7 linked regions of the Bombyx mori genome follow. The protein of the gene in region 1 binds, or shares a complex with, the protein of each later gene. Links are inferred from orthologs where the notes say so. Each region holds a gene or a part of one and is shown on either strand. Other genes may lie near its edges.

Region 1 (3,500 bases):
TTTGACAGAATCAACATTGACAGCTAAGTTCGGTTTGTTCCCTAGTAAGCCTTGTAGTGATGTAATTAAACCTTGTTGGTTATTCCTGAAATAAAATTTAGATTAGAGAATCAGAAGACACATTTTAAAATAATGTTTAAGAGTACTTTATTGGTTTGTAGGGCGTTTTGTGAGATCGCACTGGCCGGTACTACCACCCTGCCTATTTCGGCTGCAAAGCAGTAATGCGTTTCAGTTCGAATGATGATGAGCAGTAGTTGTACTGTAAGCCTGAGACTCATGTCTCAATGTGGGTGACGGCATTTATGTTGTGTGTCTATGGGATCCGGTAACTACGTTACACCAGGTGGGCCAGATAAGCTCATCCACAAACATGAGTAACAAAAAATTTACTAAAAGTTGCTTAATAACTGGTTTTGTTAATGCGAGTTTTGAATGAATGAATAAATTTGCCGCGGCTGTATGTAAATCTATTATGTCACATCAAAATCTAAGTTAGATGCAAAATAATTTTATTTCATGTAGTTTTCATGTCATCAGTTTTTATGATCCCAAATGAAAAGAAAGAAAAATATAATTTTGCAATCGTAAGAACAACTTTAATACTTATAGTATATTTCCGAAAACACTGGTTGTCTTAAACAGAAATAAAATAAAGTTCTTACTTAATTTCTTGTTCGCTTTTGTTAAAAATCATAGCAACATGTCCATCCTTATCTTCCTTCTCACAGAGCTTTGAGTAGCCAACTGCTTTAAAACGACAGAGCGGATTTTGCTCTGTCAACGTCAAAGGCGGATGGTTTCGACTATAGTACGCTTGACCTAAACGAGAAAAAAATCATACTTACATACATACATTATAAAAGTTGACTGTTTGAATCTGTTTCTGAATTTAAATCTAAATATTCAATATTTAACAAATTAATGTAATTAAAAAAAAAAAAAATTATAGTCTATAGTAATAATATAATATCTATAGAATTTATAGTTCAAATAACAATGTGCAAGAGAAAATTTTTAAGTAAATGGAGAAACCTTGCTGCTCTGTGTTCGAATCTTACGTACCACAGGAACTGCCAAAGGAATTTTGTTATAACTAGAAGTCCCGCAGTAGTCGAAATTCGACTATAATTAATTGGAATTGTAAGTTTGTACACTATTATGATTGTATTTTATACTTCTATAATCACAAAATTCGCCAAGACTACACTATAAAAAAATATTAACAAAGAAAAACAAAATTTTAATCTCAATTTGACAACAGACGTCAAGAACAAAAGATTGACAATAAATAGTATGCATGCGTGTGTGCGTCAAATACATGGTATGTAGTGTGTGTAATGTTTGCTTTATTGATTTAATGTATCTTTTATGCATTATTTAAAAAAAAAATTAGCAATGTGCACTTCTTCTCTATATTCTCTATAAGTGTGGAAAATTTCATAGTCCTCCGTCCGCGCAATTTTCGTAAAAAGGGATACAAAGTTTTTGCTTCACGTATTAATATATAGATTCCATAATGCCCTTTTTACTACCAAGCAAACTCATTACTGGAATTACTGCGTCTAGCATTAACTAGTATGGCGGCGATGATCTTATGTAACTATGATATTACGAGTTTATAGAAATTCTGAGCAACTTTTCATTATAAGTTCATCAATAAATTCTAATTTCATCTTTCGCCTGCGATTGTAAAAACAAGATGATGGGATCATCTCAAATAATTCCTCGGAGTGCTCCCCATGGAACATACGGTACAAAATACAGAGGGAACTAAGGTCTCTCCGCAGAGGTTACATACGACCCGTGAGAATGGGATTATCAATAATCCGAACGGCCCTTCTTTGTATGTAGTCAAATGTCACCATACACGACATCGAAGGGTCAAAGGTTATTTTGTTTAAGCGACATTTTTGCAACTTTACAGAAGAGCCATTTAACGTTTAAAATTTGGAGAAATATCATAATAAAAAAACTTATTCGGCTATTTCAATGAGTAAACTTAATTGAGGTTAAATTAAACATCGAACTGTTGATGTTAATCTATACATATAAATAAAATTGGAGTGTTTGTTTGTAATATTGAAATAGCCTCTTTTAACTACATGCATATATATATATATATATATGATACATACACCAATATACATTTTTTACAGTTTTTGTCTGTCTGTCTGTCTGTTTGTTCCGGCTAATCTCTGGAACGGCTAGACTGATTTTGACGAGATTTTCACTGATAGGTAGCTGATGATATAAGGAGTAACTTAGGCTACTTTTTTTAGACTAGCTTCGCCCCGCGGCGTCACCCGCGTTACGACAATAACCGCGTGTACTCAACTATCAATAATAAAATTTAATGTTTCCGAAGCGAAGCGAGGGCGGGTCCCTAGTACCAAAATAAAACGCACCTTTAATTACAAATATAACTGTCGCGTATTAAGCGTAACGTCGCTTAAATCAAATAGCCTTTCACCCCTCGATAAGTTTATTGTAGTTATTTTATTTTTATTAATCAGCATCGAGTGTCAAGTTTATACTGGTCACGCATACCTGTACCCCATTGAGCTTGAATCAAATTCCACTTCGCTAAAACTTGATCCCTTTCGTCGCCGAACACACAGCAGTTGAACACGGCCGCGACTAACGCCTCGTGGGCTGTCGCTGGCGCTTGCTGTTGCTGTTGCTGCTGTTGTAGTTGTTGTTGCTGTTACGATTATAATCTCTAAATTAGGACTCGTTAGGTTCGCTATGGAATGAAAGCTTTCGCAAATACATATTCATCAAGGCTTAGTTTAGTCACGTCAAATTGGCGAAAACCTAAGAAGCAGTGTAATTCAATTGTAATTGATTTTTAAAAAAAACATTTGAATTATTTATAAAAAGGACTTGTTTTTAGTGTAATGATGATATAATATATTTGAAGTCGTTGTGGCCTAAAGGATAAGACGTCCGGTGCATTTGTATGTAGCGATGCACCGGTGTTCCGAGTCCCGCAGGCGGGTAACAATTTTTCTAATGAAATACGTACTCAACAAATGTTCACGATTGACTTCCACGGTGAAGGAATAACATCGTGTAATAAAAATCAAACCCGCAAAATTATAATTTGCGTAATCACTGGTGGTAGGACCTCTTGGGAGTCCGCACGGGTAGGTACCTCCACCCCGCCTATTTCCGTCGTGAAGCAGTAATGCGTTTCGGTTCGAAGGGTGGGGTAGCTGTTGTAACTACATATACTGAGATCTTAGAACTTATATCTCGAGGTGGGTGGCGCATTTACGTTGTAGATGTCTATGGGCTCCAGTAACCACTTAACACCAGGTGGGCTGTGAGATCGTCCATCCATCTAAGCAATAAAAAAAAAACTTTTTTTTCCTACCTATGCTGAACCTTGAGAGGCTATTTCAGCTTCACTCTAATGTGTAGGTGAGCTCACGGGGTTCAAACCGGAGTGTTGCTAACACTGGCTCTAGCAAGAGCAGTGCTTCGCAGAATCTACC
Region 2 (4,204 bases), on another chromosome or scaffold:
GGGCTCTGGAAACCACTTAATACTAATGTCAAACTTCAGCCTATTTCCTAAAACTTGGTTGAATACTCGACTTTTTCGCCTCCTACCGGGCGAGCCGCTAACTGTGATGCTGGTGTATACCTAGTTGTTTCTGCCGAGTCAGGCACCCTTGGGGTGGGCACGTATCTTGTTGCAGTGTTTATTGCGGTCTCTCACATTCCTAATCGTGGCCGCCGCTAATTATATATCCGACCCCTGTGTCGTTGCAACGCAAAACCGCCGTCGCTCAAAACACGTCTTGTCGAATCCCCTAAAGCTCACAGTAATTTTAGGCTCTTCAAGCACCGATCTCCGTCCTCGTCAAAGTAGTCCATTACGCCGAAGACTTTTACGTGCGAACTAGCCCATAGACACAACCCACTGAGTTTCTCGACGGATCTTCTTAGTGGGTCGCGATTCCGATCCGGTGGTAGACTCAACGAAGCATTGCTGTGGCTTGGGACAATGTTACCGATTTTTTTTGCGCCCGTGAGTATCTGGAATAGCCGCTTAAGCTACCAACGATTAGGTAGGGAAATAAATAAAACAACACTCCTACCTCCTTCGGGTTCAGAGGTCGTCGTGGACATCTTGTAGAAAACTCGCTTACCAAAAGAAAATGATGAACTGTTAGAAATCGTCATGAAAAAAGTAATACATAACTTAACAAAATATAACGTTTTGCATCACGTTCCCGCCATAAAATTTGTGCAGGTAAACAGTACGTAACAGATTATGATTAATACTTGTTTAAATTAGTCAAATAACTTTTTTTAAGATTTTCCTCTCATCTACAGCCAATTTAACGGTATGCAGCGGCTTGGCTCTGCTCCTGGCATTGCTGAAGTCCATGGGTGACGGTAATCACTTACCATCAGGTGGGCCGTATGCTGGTCTGCCTACACGGGCAATAAAAAAAATCTGAAAAGTGTTATTTTAAAAAACCTCGAATTTAGTGATTAATAAAGTTCTTGTAACCAACATATTCACATTGATGTTCAAACAAAAATTTGGAATTGTATTAAATTAGATGGAATGCAAGCGACACAATCATACTATTTTGTAAATAAGTGTTAATATTTTTTTAAAGATTACATATTTGAAAAAATTGTCAAATCGAATGTGGAGATCAAAAATACGTCAGTAAGCTTCGTTGTCATAAAGCCCTTTGAACTGCACTAAGCCCACAACATGCGTTCTAATTCGCTCAAGCACACTAAACGTCATTATATTATAACGAAAAAGTGCACTACATACCAAATTATCAAATTGTTAGAGCATTCAACGAATACCTTTCGTGTAGCACGCCCTCTTTTTTCAAGGGATTTTACGACCTGGTAACTAGGACCTTTAAGTCAAGTCTTTTTAACTCACAGATTAGACCTAGTCAACTGCAAATACTTCAATTTACTACCTATTAGGCTATTACATATTTTGATAGTTCTATGATTCAAAACGATATGAATTGACTGCCAATTGTGCTACAAATTAATACTCTTCGAATTTTGTATCCTTAATCAATAAATTACCGATGTATTGAACGCAGGCTTGTAGCGCGTATTTTGATAAAGATATTGAGGTATTCTTTGTGAGGTAGCTGTAGGTAGAACTTTGAAACCGACTGCAGCATGGAATCAAAGTATGGACCAAATTCTATTGATGAACCGGTAGGTTTTTAATTTTATTTCTAAAGATTTAAATTATAAATATTGTTTTACTTCAGACAGGATAACTAGTGCCTATTAATAAATGAATTGAAAAAAAAACCGAAATCAACGTTACACAACAAAGCTTAGAAGAAAATGTTATAATTAAAACTGGCCCATGAATATTAGGATATAAAAATAAGCTCTCATTTCATTTAAAAGCTTCCTTTAATAGATCATAATTTGAAATGAATGGCTATAAATTTCATAGCATCCAATACAATACAAATTCCAAACAAAAATAATAACAAATCCAAATAATCTCTTTTTTTAGAATTTGTTGTATAAATTGCAACACAAGACAAAAGTATTTAACACAACAGAAAAATTGTCAAATCGGGGTTACAATTTGGTGGCCTGTAGCAGCAAATATGGCATTGTTTTCATTGCTGCTCCTGATGGGACACTTTCAGGTAAATAAAAAAATATATATAAAAAAAATTAATTGAATGACATAAAACTTAAAATACATTATGTTGATCACAATAAATTTGGGTATAAAAAAAATGTTTTCCGAGTGTACATATGGGTTCAATATATAAATTGTGAAACTGAAATTAAGTAAAAGTCACTTAAATACCCTAAAGTTAGTAAAACAACTTTTAACCAAAAAATAGCAACACTTTCAATATTCAAATGAACTAGCTCAAGTAACATCTATTTTGAGTAAAGTCTATTTATAAATGTTTTAGTCTATTCCCTAAAACAACTGATATCTAATGAGACACAACATACAAATGTGAAGCTTCAAGAGTGTGCTACGCATATTGCTGTTAGTTGCGATGATGAACTACTTGCAGTGGCTGGTTCGCAATCTCTTTCCGTGTTTAAAGTCACAGACTTTCAGAATCAGGTAATACACCTAATGTATTTATTAAGATAATTGAATTAATAATTAGGAAATATAATACAGTATTAGTAATCCTCCTTATAAAACAGTACTCTTTTAATGCATTTTCATATTATGCAATATCTATCCCCTCTTTTATGCATTTATACTTCATATTCCAGGATTATGTTAACAAGCTGTCAATTTATTTGTTTCTAATGCTAACATGATGTCTCAAGGACCTAAGAGCAGACCTTAGTTTACTCATGAATAAATGTACAACACAATGAAAGAAAGGCTAACTAAATTGTAGTCAATTGAAATTGTTGCCACCTTCCAATTAGTTCTGACCTACGAATTCTTGTCTTGCTCAGTATTTGTCAGTATTTAGTAATTTAATTCTAAATATGTAGTTATATTTAAAGTAAATATCTATTGATTAAACGAAATACAGTACTCTAGAAGATTTGATCTCTCTTTATATAAATGGCTTCATCCTCTTATATTCATTCCACAGAATGTATCACCATCAATATTTATGAAGACCAATGTGAATCCATCAACATTTGTATCAGCATTACAATGGAACCCTTGCATACCGGACTCTTTAGCATTAGCATTCCAAGATGGTACCTTACTTGCCTGTCAAGTTACCACAAACCAGGTCAAGAAAGTACAAACAAAAGCGAGGTAAGTTTTGAATTGCTTTTATTAATGAACTATTTCACAACTGAAACAAAAATTATGACTATACATTAAAAGAAAATATATAATTGGAACTTATACCTAATGTGTATAGGCTCTGACAACAACTGAACACAAGGTCCAGACAGCGGGCTCTTATCCATCTGTGCAAAAGAAAGGGGAGCTTACAACAATACTAGCAGTTCTCTGCAAATCAACATTTCTCTTGTTCTGTATATTGACTGTATTTTAAAAAAAGTTTTATATCTACCAAACAATGACCTGCCACTCTATAAATTTAAAACAATTTTTAATTTAATATAATTATAATTCTCAAATTTATAAATGTTGATGGTGAGATTTTTATTATGCAATGCTATTCCTCTCTTGAGGATTTTTTTTTATTGCTTAGATGGGTGGACGAGCTCACAGCCGACCTGGTGCTTAGTGGTACTGGAGCCCATAGACATTTACAATGTAAATGTGATATCCACCTTGAGATATAAGTTCTGAAGTCTCAGTATAGCTACAATGGCTGCACCCCCTTCAAACCGAAACGCATTTCTGTTTCTAATAAAATATAAGCTATAAAAAAAAAAACCTGCCTGTGCGGACTCACAGGAGGGCCTACCACCAGTAAGCTTGTATTATTATATATTGATTGAATAGAACACATGCTTGAAATTTATATCTTTTAATACCTTCTTTTAGGATTTGTATAACTACACAGCTGTATCACTCAACACAAGTACACCATGCCTCTCATCCTTTACAACACAGACTCCAGATTTATAGTCGATTGGAGTGTTAATTTTGCAGCTTCCGCTCATGACTGGTTTTCTATCAATTTCTTTCACAGATGTATTTGTTGGAGTCCAAAAGGGAAACAGTTGGTGACAGGCAACAATGACGGGACACTGTGTCAGTACAAACCAGACTTGACTCTTGCAAAAACAATACCAGCTCC
Region 3 (4,139 bases), on another chromosome or scaffold:
CGGACATCAGCAACCGAGACTGGACTTAAGTCAAAAATAGGGATCCGGGGTACGGATAGACTTGAAATCTTAAGCAACGTGGCCGTCTTTGACGAATCACTGAGTGACACAGGAGGGAGAGAAAAATGCTTATTGAGGGCGCACAAGTCAGTATCCTTGACAGAAGAGACCGGAGTTTTGCCAATGCCGACAGATTTAAGGAATCTCCAAGTATGAGCAGGGCTGCGATTTTCAAGTGATTTGTGAAAGTAAAGTCTTTTAGCATCTCTGCACAAATGGTTGCACCGGTTGCGCAGTGCTTTGTATATGGCCAGGCTGTACCAATTAATTAAAAATTTAACTAATCTTTTTACCAGCTTACTGGCATCTGTCACTTACTTGATGCATATCACCTTCCAACAATGCCCGTAAAGTCCTATCCAGCCTAGAGCCTGAGGGCATAGATCCCATTCCAGCACAGGCCGATGCTGCAGCAGACAACTCATGAGTCCTAGACCAAGGTGCTGTGAACATTACGTAGCCTCCCAACATATCAAACCACGATGTGTATGTGCTACGTATTGACTCAAATGCTGAATATTCTCCTATGATTAACTGTGGGACAAAATTGTATAAATTAGTAAACGAATTACACAATGTTTTAGTATAATAAAAAATAAGCCTAATTAGCTCACTTCATCTTCCTAAAGCCTATTTTAAGACTTAGTGTTAATTAATGAACCACTTAATAATATAAAAAAATAATTCTTGAAAACATTTTCAATTAAGAAAAAAATTCATTTCACAATATTCAAATCATAACTCATTTATTTTGAAGTTATAGATTAACTGATTAAATTAATTAAATGTTCTTATTTGCTGTATATTATGCTGTTATTATTACCGTTATTCAACAGGTATGCTTGCATCTGCCATGTTCCTATTTGATTTGGCTTAGAACGGGGAAATTAGCATAGATAAATAGGTAATTTTACAAATTTTTTGAATGTAGTAAATGATGATGATGGTGGTATACACTTTAATCTAAGAATTTTGAGGACAAGAACAGTTTCTAGTTTATGCAGTTACTTAATTGATTCACACATCTTTACTTACTCTCATAATAAGTTCAAGTTTTGGTTGTGATGCCAACACTCTGCTAGTAACCTTAGCTCTGCATTCAGCCTGCCAATGCTTCCAAGTTACTGTAAACTCCCCAGTTGATATACCACCATATATCTGTAATTTTATATCCATGTTATGTAGATGTAAAGTGTTTATGGCAAGATGTGAGGTAAGATCGAACTTTTAGCTATAGGATATCCCAGGTTAAATTTGTTTAATAATATACAACTTTTCATAACCACAATGAAGTCTTTGATCTGACACAATGGTTACATAAATTAATAATAACATAAATTTATAAATTTTGATGGTGTTAATTGTTTTTCCCAAAATAGTTTTCCAGCTGAAGTTTGACATGTGTGGACTATAACCTATATCATGTGAACAGTCATTCAGTAGTTTAGACATAAAAATCTAATAAGACAAGAGTAAAGTTCATATATGGCTGAGCCTTTACTCGCCCACCTGTCCTGGTGAAACTGGAAAGGCCTCCGGGCCACCAGTAATCTTTCATTCATAAAGAAAAAACATTCATATAAAATATCTTATTAGCATGTTCCAAACATCTCTAAATGGTGATGGAATTGTTCAGATAAATTGTCTCTTAACTATCCAAAGTATAATTTTTGCTCTTAATTAATTTATACTGTGGAATACTTAATGAAAATCAATTGTTCCCTTTATTTGTGAGGAATTTAAATGATAATTTGACTTTAGAAATTATATTTCATTTTTATACTCACACTATAAACAGGCATACTCCGTAATGAATTATCAACAAGCTTAAATTCATTTGTTTCTGATAATGAATTTAATTTCAGTAGAGCTCGGGCGACATCTACTCGCCCTTGCACAACCATGCCAATCACAGTATCCCAATAGTCATCGTGGTCTTCTGAACCTCGCTCACAGGCCTCCAGCAACTGCGCTGCAGTCTGCTCATGGCACGGAAAATGGAATCGAACCCATTCTAGGAGGTATGGCAACACAATGTCTCCGGGAATCTTATCTATGTAAAGGATCTCACATAAATGCCAAATACATTCAACAGAATAAAATATTGTAATGTATGATTGTAAATTGATCATGTCGCTGCCGTCTTTCGCATCATTAAGGGCTTCTTGCAAGTTTTCAATGCACACTCTTATAATAGAACGATATTGTCGTGAAAGTTTTAATAATTCCACGTGATTGTCATTATTTTTTGAAGAATCGACGAGTTTCTGCAGAGATAAATATGTACCATTGGATTCGTTTACCAGTTTTCGTAAAATCGGATGAAATAATACAATCTCGTGACGTATATTGAGTATTTTGTTTTCGACATCATTTTTTGGTGTTTTCGAAACAGTTTGACTGCGTGGGTAGATAGAAAACTTGTTACCACTCCTCCACGCACATCCTACGCCCTTATTGAAACATTTTTCTGGTATATTCTGTAAGAAACAAAAAAAATAACTTAACTCAAACATAACCTATATATTCGTTGAATCATGTTAATTACTTACAAATGTTTTAGCTCGAATAATAGGACTACTATCATCGCCACGAACATTATTGTTAGAAAAAGTCGTTATATTCATTTTGTATTAAATCTTTCATGTACACAATGCAATTTCACATAAAATTTTGTAAACATTTGAATGCGAAACAGAATTGATCAGAAACCGCCGTTTCAAATGCGCTGATTTTTTTATTTGTTTCACACATAGAACAAGGTGAAAGCAAAGGAAACAAAATCCATACAGCCAATTATTCTTTTTGGTCAAATGCGTAATAATAGTGGGTTAGTAATCTTTTAGCATGTGTATATGGGCAGGTGTGAGAAAATAAAACAAAATCGCAGGACATGGCTTAGCGGTATCTTTTTCAAAAATACGCACACAATTCTATTTCGACGTCACCTCATCTCATCTCATTGCAATTTCAGATGATTCAATTTGGTTTCATTCCTTCCTATTAGATTTAGATAAGTTGACGAGCAATACGCACCTGTTATTTTTTATAATTCGTTGTCTATTCGCTGGTGTCTAAGGGGCTATTTCAGCTACGCGCAAACAAGTAGATGAGCTCAGAAATTCAACCTGAGAAAATTTGCTAACACTAGCCCTAGCAAGAACAGTGCCGCTGCAAAATCTATTACCCGATCAGAATCACGACTCATTGAGAATATCCGGCCAGAAACGCAGTGGGTTGTGTCTATGAGTTAATTCGATCATCGAAAACTTCGTCGCAATTGACGTGATTGATGAAGAAAGTAACCGTGAGTGAAAGGATCGGATAGGTCATGTTTCGCGATGTAATTTTACGTTGCCTCGTCCTTTGAGTCGGATATGTAATAAGCAGCGGTCACATTAAATAGATTATCGTGTCGCACCGAGCACTACGTTAATATTGCCACCGATCACAAAACATAAAATCAAAGACTCATTTGTATTGTATAGACTATGTAGTCCACCTTTCATAGCGGAACGCTTTCTAACTGTTATGCTTTAGAAACAGACAGAACAGTGATACCCAATAATGAAATTTACTGAAATCTACATGTAATTTCGTTCGCGTTCGACTTTTGTACTTCGGGTTTCAACTTCTGCACTTTCACAGATGCTAAACGATTGATAATCTACCATGATTATACGTTTAAACTAGAAGCAACACTAAATTAACAAAATAAAATAATCCATACAGTTACCTTGCCTCCCCGCCGAAAAGTTTCTTACAAACTTTAAATACACGAACATACGGCCAACAGTGCTAGACAAACTTTAACCCAAGATAACTAAAAAGTCGAGTATGATAGCCGTAAACATATTTTAAAAAGGTATGCATTGACAGTTGACGTTTTTGTTTGTTTTCGTAGTTTGACGCTCGTGATTCATTGTGAAACGTTTATCCCCTATAATAAAAAAAGTTTTTAAGTTTATATTTACCCTGAAATTAAATCCTTCCAGTATTTACAAGGTATAAAGGTACGTGAACATTTGATGACTTTGCATTTTTATTTAATAAGTAATGTCGCTGACCGGATGACCTGT
Region 4 (3,500 bases), about 5.0 Mb from region 1:
TTATTCAATGAGATTAAGTTTACAGTCTGGCCAGCGAATCATGGCACAACTAAATAGCGGCAATCCAAAATATCTTCAGTTGGCAACATTAAAGATAACATAACACGATTTGATACATTTGTATTTTTCTATGGCATAGTCACATTAATATAAAAATGCAAAACTACCCTTTCATGCTATATTTAATGTTGTCAGTTGTATATATTTTGAATTGCCGCCATTGTAAGTAGTTGTGTCACGATTCGATGGCCATACTCTATTTACATTGATTAAAATACCTTTATCCTAAAGCAAAAGAGTATTAATAATTTTTTACACTCGATTTCCACTAAATCGATCCTATTTTATGGATGCTCTAATTCTAATCCGTACGTTTGTGGAGCTAGTTACGTATATTGAAATAAGTGTTGCAGATGTTTACAAAGATTGTTTAAAACAAAAAATAGAATTCAACTTATTTTCTACACTTGGCCATTGTCAATGAAGCTAAGATTTCAATAGGTTAATCAAGCAAAATAGACGAATTTTTTGGTATATATCCCATTCGTGTAACGCTTAGGCCCAAAATGGGGTTTCTCCTTTAATATATACAATATCATCATGAGAAATAAAGAATTGAATTAAACTTTCCAAGTGTGACACTGAATGATGAAAAAATGCCTTTAAGTCAGAGAATACAGATAGATGAATATAGATTTCAATAGAGAAAATCATTTAAATAAATAGAGTCATTTACAAATTTAAAGACGTATTGCTTGTTTCCCTAAACATACCAAGAACCATAAAAAAAAATTTTGAACATAGACAAGTTTATGATACCTGAATCTATACTAATATATAAATCTACAGTGATTTTACGGATGTTCCGTTATAACTACTGAACCGTGCATTCGATTGACTTGAAACTTGGTATCCATGTAGAAAATACATGTACTTAATGGATAGGCTAATATTTATATGAGTGTTGGACTCCCTACAACAGTTGCGGAGGTGTTAATGATGAGAATCTTTGTGGGGGTGAGAAATAATAATGTTAATTTTAAATGCCCAGTGAAGCAGACAGGTACAGCTAGTCATACATAAAGTTATGCAAAAAATATAATATCAGACTCACCTCCTTTAGGCCTTCATCGTCTTGCAGCAGACTGTCGATCAAACTCCTCAAATAGCCTTGATTGATGAGTACATTCATCCAGTCAGTCCGAGGATTGATTTCAATGAGCGTCTCCAGGCAGGCCAGCGCCACCATCCTGCACACGTCCTGCCCCGCACTTATACAGTCGCCGCACACTATCGCACACAAGTTCTCGCCGAATTCACTGATCACATCCACCACCATGGCCTTCAGAGACGAATCTTCGCTCTTCTCCTTCGCTTTGGAACTGTCGAGCCTGCTGACGTACGTGTCGTTCAATTCTTGCTCGGGCTCCGCTGGACTGGGCTTGAGGTTCACTATGTTCAAGTAGTTGAGCAGGGCTCCGTACAGGTTGACCCGCATGTTCTGACTAGCCCCGCCTGACACCAGTATCCAGCTCAATATTTTGTTTAGTATGAATTTTAACGTCAACGAATTGGTTTGCATGATCTGATTTGACGGCCCGAAGAATGAAGTCTCGAATTCCGAAGACGCGAGGTTCGATTCCCGCTTCTGTAAGATGTAGCAGTGGCGCAGATTGACCATCAGCAGCAGTACGGTGCCCGAGGCCAGGTTGCCGAGCTGCGGCAGGACCTCGTCGGGCGGTATCTTGTTGAGTAGGTCCTGTAGGATATTGAGCAGCAAGTTCTTCCTGGCTTCGAGGTTGAGGATGTCGTGAGGAGCTACACAGAACAGCATCTCTGTGAGCTGACGCCACGAGTCGTAGTAGTGGGTGAGCGTGGCGGCGAGGTTGCGCTGGCGGTTCACCTCCGTTACGTAGTCTAAGACCTGTCCAAAAATATTGTTGCATTAATTCTACATAATTTTGATGTATTTTTTATCCCATATAAGTGGTCACGGCTCATATGAGATAGTGAACTTAAAAGAAAAAAATTACCTTATTTTGGTCAATATAATTTTTTATCTGAAAACAGAATCTGCTACTAACAATAAAAAAGCAGCAGTAAGTAACCTATGCAGTGTTGTAGGAGTGGGTGATATAAATCGTGTATAGATTCAATATCTATATATCGCAGCAATATCGTTGAATCCGATATCGCCCCGCACGAAATCTATATATCGATATCAGCCGATACACGATATTGCTCGATGTGATGCGCATCGCCATATCGTATCGATTCGTGAATCGAAATCTATATTTCGATATCAGCCGATACACGATATTGCTCGATGTGATGCGCATCGCCATATCGTACCGATTCGTGAATCGAAATCTATATTTCGATATCAGCCGATACACGATATTGCTCGATGTGATGCGCATCGCCATATCGTACCGATTCGTGAATCGAAATCTATATTTCGATATCAGCCGATACACGATATTGCTCGATGTGATGCGCATCGCCATATCGTACCGATTCGTGAATCGAAATCTATATTTCGATATCAGCCGATACACGATATTGCTCGATGTGATGCGCATCGCCATATCGTACCGATTCGTGAATCGAAATCTATATTTCGATATCAGCCGATACACGATATTGCTCGATGTGATGCGCATCGGCATATCGTACCGATTCGTGAATATCAGCAATATTCGTTTGGTTCGTATCGAATCAGCCAGAGTGAGTGAGCGCACGATAGGGATATCATGTGATGAATGAAACAGAAACAGGCATTATCCATACAATTGTAAACCTTATATTTAAGTCCATATGTCTGTAGATTATTCTTAGCGTATCAGCAGGATACAATTTAGGAAAGAAGTTTCAACTTTCGACCCTAACTTGAATGCAGTATAGCCTACTTTCATTCTTTAAATTTAATTTTACGCGCTTTGACCTTGAACTAGAATTTTTGGACAAGTGTTTATAAATACTTAAAAGTTTTTTGTGTTTGATTTTTAAAGTACACATTTTTCTATTTTTAGTTGAATCCAAATAATTGAGTTTATTTCTTGTGTTTGTATTAAACTTTTGAAATCTACACTCTTTTGGTATATTTTGTAATTTTAAATTAAGACACAAAATACTAAAAACTGAAAATAATGTAGCCAGTCCTAAGCCTGGTAAAAGCATGAAGGAAAGTTTTTTTGATATTTTTATTTTCATGTTCTTTTTATTACTTTAAGATCATATTATAAATTGATATCAGAAAACCAACCGTATAACGTTGACTTAAATCTATATCTACTACGATATTATATCAGCGTATCGTTTCAAATCTCAAATATCGCGAATCGAGAAAATCTACTAGCATCCATCAATATATAGATTCAGAAAATATATAGATTCAATATCCGATATTGATCCTCGATATATAGATACGATTCGATACGCGGCAAAACCGATATTACCCACTCCTACAGTGTTGTGCTCGGAATCTCTGCTAAACAATC
Region 5 (3,500 bases), on another chromosome or scaffold:
CAAGGGTACCTGGGTCAGGCAGAGGGACTACGGTCCTCTCTGTGCTTTATACTGCTTGCTCCATGAGTGTGTTCAGAGGAATTGGTAGAGATAGTCCCTCCATACCTTTATCATTGTCGCAGCATTGTTTTGGCGTATATTTTAATGCTCAGCTTATTTTCACATATTTAGCCAGCAAAATAATTGTACATGCCCGCGCTAAGACACGTCTGTACAGGTCGATACATATGATGAAACTGCGCAACAGTCGGTATTTCGACGCTCCGCATTTTAGACGCATTAATAGAGAGTCGATCTATCGACCATTCGCACTCGAAGGGACGTATATACATATATTTTGTTTACGTGATTAAACACGAGTCCGTACCCTGAACACCCAGCTGCCCGTTTGAGGTCGATACTCGATAAACTTGGTGTCATGTTTCTCGCAAACCCTGCGCAGCTTCCCTTCGTAATCCAGTTTTAGTAATCTGCAAATAATAATTAAAAAAAAATGCAAATCAAAATTACATTGAAGTATAAAAACGTTGTTTTTTTTTTCTATTACAGAATTTGTTATGGTCTGATAACGAGACATTTAAGGCAAATCTTTTTATATATTCACTTCTTACATTCTGTTATAATATTGTTACGCCTGCAAGAGTAACACCATCTGTCTTCAAATAGCAGAAACGAATATCAAAAGAACTAGTAAAATTGAGAACGCTTGAGAAGTGCAACGCCATCTATTATCAAATAGCGGGAGTTTTAATTTGTACTTCTTTGTACAATTGTGAAATAAGATGAACCTGATTAATTTAAGACTAATCATTTGTGATGAAATTAAATGTAATGGGATGAGCTAGTATGATATACATCAATGCGGACCTCTTGTGAGTCCGCACGGGTAGGTACCACTACCCTGTCTATTTCTGCCGTGAAGCAGTAATGCGTTTCGGTTTGAAGGCGTTGTAACTACACTGAGACCTTAGAACTTATATCTCAAGGTGAGTGGCGCATTTACGTTATAGATGTCTATGGGCTCCAGTAACCATTTAACACCAGGTGGACTGTGAGCTCGTCCACCCATATAAGCAATAAAAAAAAAAGTTAAATTAAAAAGTATTCCGCGGCCAAGCTCCCCCACCTGTCGGGCTCGGTGATGAGTCGTTTCTCGGTCTTGTCCCGGGGCCACACCCGGTCGAGGGTCACGATGGCCCGCCTGTTCAGGCCGACTCCGACCGGCGGCTTGTCGCTGTCCTCCGGATAGACTATCACCTCCTTGTTCAGGAAGTGCACTGGAAAATTTCACACAATTATTAGCGGAGCCCGTGGACCTTAACAGTATAAATATCGTCACCCACTTCGTGATACGAGTTCTCAGCCTCTTAGAACTGGATCGCATTACTGCTTCACGGCAGAAATAGGCAGGGCGGTGGTTTCGTACCCGTGCGGTACTCACAGCACGCCTTACTATCAGTAATTATAATTTTTGCGGGTATTTTTTTTTATTTATATATTAATAGGTGAAGCAAAAACTTTGTACCTCTTTTTACGAAAATTGCGCGGACGGGGGAGTATGCCTACACTTATATTTCATATAGAGAAGGAGTGCAGAATGTTTTTTTTTTTATTATAAAATATATAAAAAATACATTAAATCAATAACAATAAAATCATTACACACACTACCATGTATTTGACACTGCACATAGATATATATATAAACTCTTTCTTTATCGTCAAACTTTTGTTATTGTTTAAAGTGTGTGATCAAATTGAGAATAGATTAATATTGTTTGTCTTTAATATTATTTATCTACAGTGTAATCTTAGCGAAATCTGTAATTATAGAAGTTTAATAGTCCTTGACAATAGAACCATAATAATGTTCAAACTTATAATTTCAGTTAATTATAGTCGAATCTCGACTACTGCGGGACCACTAGTAATTTTTATTAGACGATGCTTTATTCCTTCACCGTGGAAGTCATTCGTGAACATTTGATAAGTACGTATTTCATAAGGACTGTCGGAAGTCTTGGGCACCAGGCGTCTCATCCTTCAGGCGTCGACTTCACACAGTCGACTGCGTCCCAGCGGGGTAGGGGAAGGTGGGTTAGGGGGGCGCAGAGGCTCACCCAGGGCGTCCAGGTCGAGGCCGGCCACGTCGATCTCCGAGTCGTAGTACACGTTCCCGTAGTTCTTGCGTCCGATCGTCAGGTGCGGAACAGGACACGTGCCGTCCGGCCGCATGTAGTCTAGAAACGATAACACGAATGTAATAACGTCGATTCTCCGACCCGGTAATGGAGAGCGTTCGGTAAGCGAGCGCGCAATGGTCAGCGAAATGAAACAATAAAGTAGCGGACCAACCGGTCGAATACAAATTAATTCGGATTAGGCATCAGGGTCATATGGTCGCTATTGTTTAATGCTTTCTCTATAGCGTTGTTATTCTTTGCCTAAGGAAAAATCCCTACTCAATCGTTGCGGGTAGGTGAGCTCACGGAGGTTCTAGCCTGTTGACGTTGTTAACACCGGCCCTAGCAAGAACAGTGCTTCGCAGAATCTACCACCGGATCGTTATCGCGATCCACTGAGATGATCCGACAAGAAACTCATTTGACTGTGTCTATGGGTTAGATTACACATCAAACTCTTCGTCGTACTCGACGACTAATTCTTTCGAGTTAATTGGCACATGGACATCACACAGCGAATGTCGTTAGCCGCTTTAAGGTCAAAGTCCCAACCTCATATGCGACATTAACATAACAATCGTATCATACAGCATCAATTTTCTGAACAAATATATTTATTCCTTTGTTTTGTGGGTATTTCTCGATTTTAGACAAGAATTTAGATGAAATTTTAATCTTTAGCATAGATACTTGACACTAATTAGGATATTTAAATTTAAAACTAAAATAACATTTAGAATTGTGATAACGTTCAATATTAGTTGTTGGCGACAAATTTTTTTTGTTTGTTTAATGAGTGGACGATCTCACAGCCCACCTGGTGTCAAGTGGTTACTGGAGCCCATAGACATCTACAACGTAAATGCGTCACCCACCTTGAGATATAAGTTCTAAGATCTCAGTATAGTTACAGCGGCTGCCCTACCCTTCAGACCGAAACGCATTACTGCTTCACGGCAGAAATAGGCAGGGCGGTGGTTGGTACCTACCCGTGCGGACTCACAAGAGGTCCTACCAAAGTACAAAATTATATAGATAGATAGGGGGAGAAATTCTCTCACTTATCATGTCGTCCAAGGAGGGGATGGTGTAGTAGCCCGGCCTCGTCAGCTTGACCCCGGTCGGGTGGGGCGGGGCGTCGCGCGGCTCCACATTCTCATCTTCAGATACTGTAAAATAAAGCACCCACAATCCGGCATATATACATGTAAAGAACGAACCTTTATTATTGAATAGTCTTTAGTTTTTGAAGTGAAACTTCTAATGCGACTTCAAGGTTGCGGTAAACGTTCAACGCTCGTGGGGAGGGGGAATAGA
Region 6 (3,500 bases), on another chromosome or scaffold:
AAGCTGTTCATTTTCACTAGTTAGTATTTTCTGTCTCTCTAACCAAGAAGATTTTTCAGTTTGTAGTTTTTCGATTGTGCTATTATTGAACGCTACCAATTCATTAAGTTGGTTTTGTGCTCTGGACAACTCTTCTTTTACTTGAGTCAATGTTTGAATATCAGTAGAATGAAGAATCATTTCATGTGTATATTTTTCTTCAGCTTTTTGTACTGCATTCGACAACTTAGATACTTCTTCGCGAGCTTTGTCGAGCTCCGTACGATAATTATCAACATTTACTAATGCAGTTTTCAGTTCTTCTTTAGCATTTGATAATTCTGTTTTCAAAGCAATGTTACTATTCGAGTGTTCTCCATTAGCATGAAGCGACAGTTCAGCTTCTAATTCGGAACATTTTTCTTGAAGTTGCTGTATTTTACTATTGTAATCTAAAAATTTGTTTTCGGACTCAGTTTTATATGCCTGATATTCTTTGTTCAGTGTTTTAAGTTCTTTTTCTGCCCCTTCTGAGATGTCACAATATTGTTTAATATGTTCTTTAGCAACATTCAGTTGTTCTTTTAGTGACTGAATTTCATTTTGTTTATCTATTAATTTATTTTCTAATTCCTTTATTTTTTTGACGGTGTCAAAAGAACCATCTGTATTAGGAGCAAGTGCAAATTTCAATTTTTTCATCAAATCTTCATTGATTTTATTTTTTTCAACGCAATCTTGTCTCATTTCCGTAATTTCCTTCCTCAAAACATCTGCTGCTTCTTTTTCTTCCTGCATACGTGTTTTAGCAATTTCAGTTTGTCGCTCAAGATGAGCTGCTAATTCTCTAAATCTATCTTGTTCTTCTTGCAGTCGGCGTCTTAAAGCAGAACATTCTCTAGTAGCTTCATCCAATCTTGTTTCTATTTTCGCTCGATTTTCGGCTTCAACTCGTTCAAGACTGGCTTTAATTAGTTCTAAATTTTTTAGTAACAATGACTGACCTTGTCTTTCGCGATTTAATACTTCTTTTTCAGTTTGAAGACGTATTTCAGCATCTTTGATTAATTTACATTCTAGTTTCAAATTTTCCAATTGTATTTCTGCAGCTGCTAATTTGCTTTGGGCGTTTAGAGCTTCATCACGCAGATGTTGAAGAGAAACTTCATGCTTTGCAATAGTAGCATTATATGCCTTGTTTTTATCTTCGAGTGAGGCAATTTGTTTCTTATATGTAGCAACATTAGTTTGCAATATCTTTAATCGTTCATTATTGTATTCAGATGTAGAAGCACATTTACTGTTGGCTGTAGTCAGTTTCGAAATTTCTTGTCTCATGTTGTCAATTTGTTCATAAAGCATCCTCTCATTAGTGATTTTCTCTTCTTTATACGTTTTAAATTCTTCTTTTAGAAGTTGTAAATGCTTTTCGGCCTCTCTGTATTTTATTTCAAACGGAACTTTTTCAATTGGTTTACTAATATCCTCGGATGATGTATCCATTGTAAAAGATCCACTTTTTTCCAACTCAAGAGTTTCTAGAGCAGAAGTTTCGCATCGCTTTCCTTTCATATGATCATGGTATAGTTTTTTAAACATATCCCGTTGTCGAATTAGTCCGTTAACCATTTTTGTTTGACGATCCTGAGCTTCAGTTAATTCAGTAACCCTGTTTTTCAATGATTCTATTTTGGTTTGCATTTCACCACTTTCAAACTGTTCTTTGTGACGTTCAAATTCTTCTTGTTTTTCTGTAAGATCTCGTACTAAACGTAAAAGTTTTTGATTGTTTGATTGTAGTTCTTGAATGTCGGTGAAAGTGACTAATGTCTTCGATATTATTCTAGATGAGCTAATGTCAGACGAATTAGATATATTGGATGCATTATTTGATAAATCATGGTCACCATTAGGCACAAGACCACCACGAACATGTTCTATTTCCTTTAGTAAGAAACAAACTTGTCTACCTAAGTCAGCTAACTCTCCCTTCAATTTTGTATTTTCACGATTGTAGTGATTAGCTATCTTTGAAGTTTCATTATAATCATCTCTTAGCCGGTTACACTCCATGACCAAGGAATCGATTTGCTGTGACAAAGCCGCATTGCTCTCTAAAGCTTCTTCATATTCAGCTTTTTGTTTTTGCAATAATGGTGCTTTCTCTTCTAATTCTTGTACAATGGTATTAATAGTAATGTTGAGTCTTCTGTTCTCTTCTTTTTCCTGGTTTAATTCATCAGACACTTTTACTAATTGTGAATATATTTGTGTCAGTGACATTCCAGATTTTAATAATTTGCTTGCAGTTGCAGCGGATGGTGCTAAATCACTCAAAGCCATGTCAAGATTGTGAGCATTAGCAGCTTTTAATAAATCATTCGCATGTTCTATTTCGTTTTTCAAAGAAGATATTACTTCATTTTTCTTTTCCATCATTTCTTCATGATCTACTTCTGCCTGCTTGTATTTAGTTTCTAACTCTCCATATTTATCAGTGGCTTCATTTAATAATTTTTGTAATTCTGATATCCCTTCTGTTAATTCGTGTGTTTTAGATTCAGCATCATCATGCATTGTTTTGAATAAATCTGCTAACTTCGTTTTTGCATCCAATTCCTTTTTAAAATTGTCTGTCATTTTGTTCTCTATATCTCTCTGTTCTACCAGCCTCTGGGCTAGACTTTCTGCACGAGCGTTTAAATTCTTTTTTATTTCATTTAATTGGACTATGGTTTCATTAGCTGCATTAAGTTCTTCAACCTTTTCAGCTAATTGTGTTTCCAAGCTCACCAGTCTACTTGTGTTGTTTAGTCTAACTGTTTGCAGTTCAGAAGTGAGCCTGTTAACTTCTTCTGTTAAGCCAGCAATTTGAGAATTTAACAATGTTCTTTCTTGTTCTATTCGTTTTTCACGATATTGTAAAGACAATTCTTTGCTTTGTATTTCGTCGTTGAGTGCCAATGCTTCACATTTTGCATCGATAGCTGCTCGTAATTGTTGCGAGAGTGCAGTATCATTAGTCGTCAATCTTTCTATTTCAGCATCACGCCTTTGCAAAATACGAGTTAAGTCATTTCTTTCATCAACTGCTGAATCTCTAGCACTTTTCAGAGATATAATTTCATTTTCTAATCGAGTTATTTTATCATGAGCTTTTTCAAGTTCAGCTTTCAAGGTTTCGACTTGCTTGCCTAGTTCTTCTACAGTTTCATCTGCTGTAATCAACTTCTTTGCCGCATCTTCGTACTTGGCCGTTTTTTCCAGTACTTCTGATTCAAGAACGGCGATTTTTTCACCTGAACAGTGAAATTGTTTACATTAACATATTTAAAAAAAAAAATTCAAGCGTTACATTTTATGAGATCTCCACGGTGTACTGGGTAAGACAACCGGTGTATTGGTATTGATTAATGCAGCATGTCCGGATTCAAATGCTCTCTCGGGTACATTTTTTAAAAATATGTATAAGGGTTTTCGCTATGAAAGAATTACATCGTGTCATAATATAAGAAAAATAA
Region 7 (4,236 bases), on another chromosome or scaffold:
TTCTATTTTATTTAATGACAACCCTAAACACATTAGTGCTACTAAAATAAAAAAACTGGACTACTGAACTGTTTTGTGTATTTTTATGGATATTATATGTAATCAAAAAGAAAGTATTTAAATAGTGAAATTGCGTCAGATATACAATTGCTCATCATCACATTTCACTTAATCAGCCTTTATGCTAATGGAATCTTAATTTTTATTAAAACAATCAAAAAATTAAGTGTGTATTCCCCTAGGTATTATTTAAATGGTATAAATTTAATACAGACTAGATAATGGAGGAAAAGCATTTTGTTTACTGACAACCACTTTCTTGTGTTGGTATGAGATGTATCCTTTGATTTTTCCATCATATATGAGATTTGCAACAATACATTGAGTTTCATCTGAATCAACATCTTCCTGTCCCATGATTTGTAATGCTGCCTCGAAGCTGGCTATGTCTATCTGATGTGAATTCTCCGCTAAATATACTTTCCTAAACAAATTTCTGTATGCTGTAATCTTTAATTTTTCTACAATCAAATAAATACCAGCCGTTATGAAGAACTTTTCATGTTCCTCCATAACCATATCGATACCACGCAAATCTCCATTTTTCACAGCTGATATTAGATCCCAGAATTGTAGCAAATCATATTTCTCTAGTAAATATTTTGCGGGCATGAAACCCAACAGCATTTTCACAGGAACTAAATAAGTTAGAATGAGCCTTTTATTTCGTATGCTTCTTCTGTGACAATTTTCAAAAGCAAACGATAAGTATTCATCAGCTAGACGATAGTCTGAGTCAAACATGGCTTTACGACCCACAAAATATCTGTATGTAATTTGTTGGGCCAGTGGGAATTGATCTTTGAATGGTGAAGAATCAATGGCTCTAATCAATGGTTTGCAAAGGTGGAGCTTGTTTATCCTGAAATATACTTTAAGAAGTTGGTTTACAAGACACAACATGCCTATCTTTTTGGTATCCACATCTGAAGCTCTGTTGTCAGCAGCACAGACTCTGAAGCAAGCTAATAAGCTCTCTGCTGCTTTTTCCATAATTTTACTGCCATTTTGAGCTGAAATATTGACAAATGAAATTAATTGTACAGAATACAGATTATTTAACACAATATTGACTAAGACAACAACTCATGCAAGTATTTGAGATAATTTCGTTTTTTCGACATTGTACCACCATAACAGAGTTGAATCCTACCACCTGTGAATATACTGAGCACTTAGGGTTAGTCATTCTTCAAACAAGACTAAGGAGACAAATCTTGAGTAGAAGGGAACCTGCACTTAAACAGCCACCAGATGATGAGTGGTTACTAGAGTCTGTAGACGTTACTTTGTGAAGTCTGCCTTAAGTGATGAAGTTTAAGGCTGAATTGTATAGTGTAATTGCTGCACTATTCTTCAAGCTAGAATACATGATTGCTTTAGTACAGAAACAAGCAGTTTGGTAATACATACCTAGTTGTGCAAACTTATAACACAACCGACCATCATAAATACTATAAGATCTCATTTCTATGACACATTATTTTCCTTGGCATTTGAAGATTTCAATATGAGTACTCCAGGCATCTTATTCTTAATGCCCTAATCACTTGATACTATTACCATCTTATCTTAGCTCTTGAATGATGTATGCAAATTCATACTTACGGCTAGATGCCTCTGCTTTCTGTGCAACAAGTCTAAGATCTAAACATGCAGCATACATAACCGGAAGGCACCAGTTCTCTTCTTTCTGTCCCTGTAATAGCTTTACGACAGAGGCCACACATATACTCTGATGATCGTATGCCTCAATGTAATCACTTGCATATAATGCCTGGAATGCAAAGCATTTTTTTTTATTGCTTAGATCGGTGGATGAGCTTACAGCCCACCTGGTGTTAAGTGGTTACTGGAGCCCATAGATATCTACAACGTAAATGCGCCACCCATATTGAAATATAAGTTCTAAGGTCTCAGTCTCTGACCGAAATGCATTACTGCTTCTGACTACTACTGACTCAAGAGGTCTTGCCACCAGTAAAAGTATTTGACGAGAAGCTAATAAAACGATATATTTAAAATACACTTAACAGGTAATGTTCGCTGTAGTAACGGCCAGATTAATAATGGTACATTTACTATTTTTTAATCTATATTTATCAATTTAAAACCAGAATTAAATTCATATATCTCACCTTAAGACATGATAAGTGTGCAATTACAAGTTCATCTAATGGAGCAACACAATTTCCTGTGACAAGGGTTGCAATATCGCTAGATAATAGATTCCTATTGTAGACATGTTCATCTCTTAGAGACAACAGTCTAGACAATATGTTACCTTGTCCCGTTCTGTACATACGTTCCACACATTGTATGTATTGATTAAGAGTGCCAGTTATCATCGACATTGTGGTTAGGTATTACTGGATTTTTAACTTTGAATGACTAATTTTAATATACAAAATTACAAGAATGTAGTTTTTCCTATAATTTCGTCAATCGACATTTCATGATTGATATTTATCAAAGAATCAGAGTTTATTAGCGCAAAATCGGTCTCATGAAAACATTGAAATTTTGTTTTCTTTATATGTCATTTCCACTTTCCACAGCTCAACTGGAGAAAGGATAAGTTTTTCATTCCTTGGATAGGCACACGGAAAGAAGTCTATACCGCTAAAGCATTTGGAAGGCCAAGACTATACTTATTATGTGAAATGGAATGTAATTAAGTGAAATCAAATGTTTATTTATTTTTTTAGATGAAGTGAATTATAACAGCGGCAACCATACATTTTTTTTTGTTTGAGACACAAATTGCAGGCATCATACTGTACTAACGATGGGTTAATACTGATATTTGTCAATATACAAATATATTCGTTATGTAATATTATAATACCTTAACTAATACGTGAATATCCTGATATCTTAATATACTTTGATAAAACGGGTAAACGAGTTAAACCTAATACGGTATTCGTGAAATAAGTTAATAATCATAGATAATACACATTAGTTATTAATAATATAAATAGTATATTGTATCTAGGAATTTGACTTCAAGGAATCAAGAAATGAAGGTTCAAACATTAAAAAGTAATGCATTTAAAAATTCCCAAGCTGTATTACGAATATCTTAATGAATACTAATATATCGGTCTCACCCTTATACTGTACTGTGTTCCATTTAAAAAAGTAACCAGTGCAGCTATTAAAGGAATGGCTTCGCAGTATACTAATTTTACATTATATTTTACAGTGCTCCCAGTGTACATCGGAACATAGCCTTAAGCATTAACACAGGTGCGAAAAAGCTAGTGAACCACTGTTTTATACGTTTAAGCATAAAGTAAATGAACAAAATGTAACAAGTCACATTAATCCTTTTCTCACGATCCCGCCTAAAGGTCTTGAGCTTTTTGTGTCTGTTACACGAGAGTTTGTTATTTCTACCAGATAGCCAAAGGGAATCTATTTTTATATTAAATTGATGTACCGTATTTGCAGCTAAAAAATAGATAATATGTAATGCCTACACCTATCTGACGCAAACGATACATATTAAAACGAACATCAATCTGTGCACTTAATACACGAGAAGGCTTGGGACTTTTTGGCGGGAATGCGAAGAGTGAAGTTGTGAGATTTGTTTTATTAAATTTTTGTCTATTAAGTGTTTCTTCAGGTTTAAATGTGTAATAACGGTGGTTTATTAACTATTTAGTATCTGTGAAAGTGCTCGTTCGTCCCGTTTCATCTCGTCTCGTCTCGTCTCACTTCGTTTTCATTTTCATTTTCATTTTATGACATTTCGTGCATTGTTTTATATTAATCAGCTTCCTTCATTTCATACCACTTTTCATAAAAATAAAAATAAGACTTGACTTAAAGGTCCTACTTACCAGGTCATAAAATCCCTAAAAATTAAAAAAGAAGACTTTGTTGTTCTTTATTTACACTTCTAAGTTTTTGCTTAAATCACATTTTAAATTACGAAATAAAATGGAAGAAAACGTTGCGTTGGATTCTAGCAAACAAAAAAAGTTTATCAAATCCATTAAAGGATTGCAAAAAACTATAAAGGTAGTATTAATAACATTATATATTTGAGACTAGGTTATAAAAAACCAGTGTACTTATTCTTATTTATATCACAGAAGAAAAAAACGCAAGCGAAGGATCAGACCCCCGTCACCCCTAAAGTACAAGAAGAGAAAATAAAAAAAA

The links.
Region 2: probable nucleoporin Nup54 (region 1) and nuclear pore complex protein Nup214 share a complex: the UniProt entries of both Drosophila melanogaster proteins name them as parts of the nuclear pore complex. The link is inferred for Bombyx mori from reciprocal best matches to the Drosophila melanogaster genes Nup54 and Nup214.
Region 3: probable nucleoporin Nup54 (region 1) and nuclear pore complex protein Nup85 share a complex: the UniProt entries of both Drosophila melanogaster proteins name them as parts of the nuclear pore complex. The link is inferred for Bombyx mori from reciprocal best matches to the Drosophila melanogaster genes Nup54 and Nup75.
Region 4: probable nucleoporin Nup54 (region 1) and nuclear pore complex protein Nup205 share a complex: the UniProt entries of both Drosophila melanogaster proteins name them as parts of the nuclear pore complex. The link is inferred for Bombyx mori from reciprocal best matches to the Drosophila melanogaster genes Nup54 and Nup205.
Region 5: probable nucleoporin Nup54 (region 1) and nuclear pore complex protein Nup98-Nup96 share a complex: the UniProt entries of both Drosophila melanogaster proteins name them as parts of the nuclear pore complex. The link is inferred for Bombyx mori from reciprocal best matches to the Drosophila melanogaster genes Nup54 and Nup98-96.
Region 6: probable nucleoporin Nup54 (region 1) and nucleoprotein TPR share a complex: the UniProt entries of both Drosophila melanogaster proteins name them as parts of the nuclear pore complex. The link is inferred for Bombyx mori from reciprocal best matches to the Drosophila melanogaster genes Nup54 and Mgtor.
Region 7: probable nucleoporin Nup54 (region 1) and PCI domain-containing protein 2 homolog share a complex: the UniProt entries of both Drosophila melanogaster proteins name them as parts of the nuclear pore complex. The link is inferred for Bombyx mori from reciprocal best matches to the Drosophila melanogaster genes Nup54 and PCID2.

Annotation. Positions count from the first base shown.
Region 1 is NC_085121.1:5,997,377-6,000,876, reverse strand, and holds part of probable nucleoporin Nup54, read right to left. Parts: intron 2,705-3,500; coding exon 2,551-2,704; intron 823-2,550; coding exon 666-822; intron 86-665; coding exon 1-85. UniProt on the Drosophila melanogaster protein: Component of the nuclear pore complex (NPC), a complex required for the trafficking across the nuclear envelope. Essential for the nuclear import of nuclear localization signal (NLS)-containing proteins in an importin alpha/importin beta-dependent manner.
Region 2 is NC_085123.1:8,954,961-8,959,164, reverse strand, and holds the start of nuclear pore complex protein Nup214, read left to right. Parts: upstream 1-1,404; 5' UTR 1,405-1,646; coding exon 1,647-1,685; intron 1,686-1,998; coding exon 1,999-2,137; intron 2,138-2,416; coding exon 2,417-2,577; intron 2,578-3,070; coding exon 3,071-3,243; intron 3,244-4,096; coding exon 4,097-4,204. UniProt on the Drosophila melanogaster protein: Part of the nuclear pore complex. Serves as a docking site in the receptor-mediated import of substrates across the nuclear pore complex including emb, RanGAP and phosphorylated Mad. Protects mbo/Nup88 from proteasomal degradation at the nuclear pore.
Region 3 is NC_085123.1:528,829-532,967, forward strand, and holds the start of nuclear pore complex protein Nup85, read right to left. Parts: upstream 2,801-4,139; 5' UTR 2,688-2,800; coding exon 2,613-2,687; intron 2,541-2,612; coding exon 1,848-2,540; intron 1,219-1,847; coding exon 1,096-1,218; intron 595-1,095; coding exon 379-594; intron 1-378. UniProt on the Drosophila melanogaster protein: Component of the nuclear pore complex (NPC) that seems to be required for NPC assembly and maintenance. Required for nuclear import of phosphorylated Mad via importin msk.
Region 4 is NC_085121.1:1,024,873-1,028,372, reverse strand, and holds part of nuclear pore complex protein Nup205, read right to left. Parts: intron 1,925-3,500; coding exon 1,115-1,924; intron 1-1,114. UniProt on the Drosophila melanogaster protein: Plays a role in the nuclear pore complex (NPC) assembly and maintenance, but with limited role in NPC permeability. Required for specific nuclear import pathways such as Mad import.
Region 5 is NC_085117.1:3,540,906-3,544,405, reverse strand, and holds part of nuclear pore complex protein Nup98-Nup96, read right to left. Parts: intron 3,353-3,500; coding exon 3,245-3,352; intron 2,241-3,244; coding exon 2,121-2,240; intron 1,278-2,120; coding exon 1,127-1,277; intron 471-1,126; coding exon 368-470; intron 1-367. UniProt on the Drosophila melanogaster protein: Part of the nuclear pore complex (NPC). Required for MAD import as part of the Nup107-160 complex and required for nuclear export of Moe probably via its association with Rae1. Plays a role in nuclear mRNA export.
Region 6 is NC_085117.1:12,300,011-12,303,510, reverse strand, and holds part of nucleoprotein TPR, read right to left. Parts: intron 3,279-3,500; coding exon 1-3,278. UniProt on the Drosophila melanogaster protein: Component of the nuclear pore complex (NPC), a complex required for the trafficking across the nuclear envelope. Functions as a scaffolding element in the nuclear phase of the NPC.
Region 7 is NC_085115.1:3,910,084-3,914,319, forward strand, and holds the start of PCI domain-containing protein 2 homolog, read right to left. Parts: upstream 2,801-4,236; 5' UTR 2,415-2,800; coding exon 2,199-2,414; intron 1,838-2,198; coding exon 1,669-1,837; intron 1,074-1,668; coding exon 265-1,073; 3' UTR 1-264. Other genes in the region: Nopp34 (nucleolar phosphoprotein), read left to right, coding at 4,012-4,092, 4,167-4,236. UniProt on the Drosophila melanogaster protein: Required for the export of nuclear mRNAs and involved in mRNA trafficking in the cytoplasm.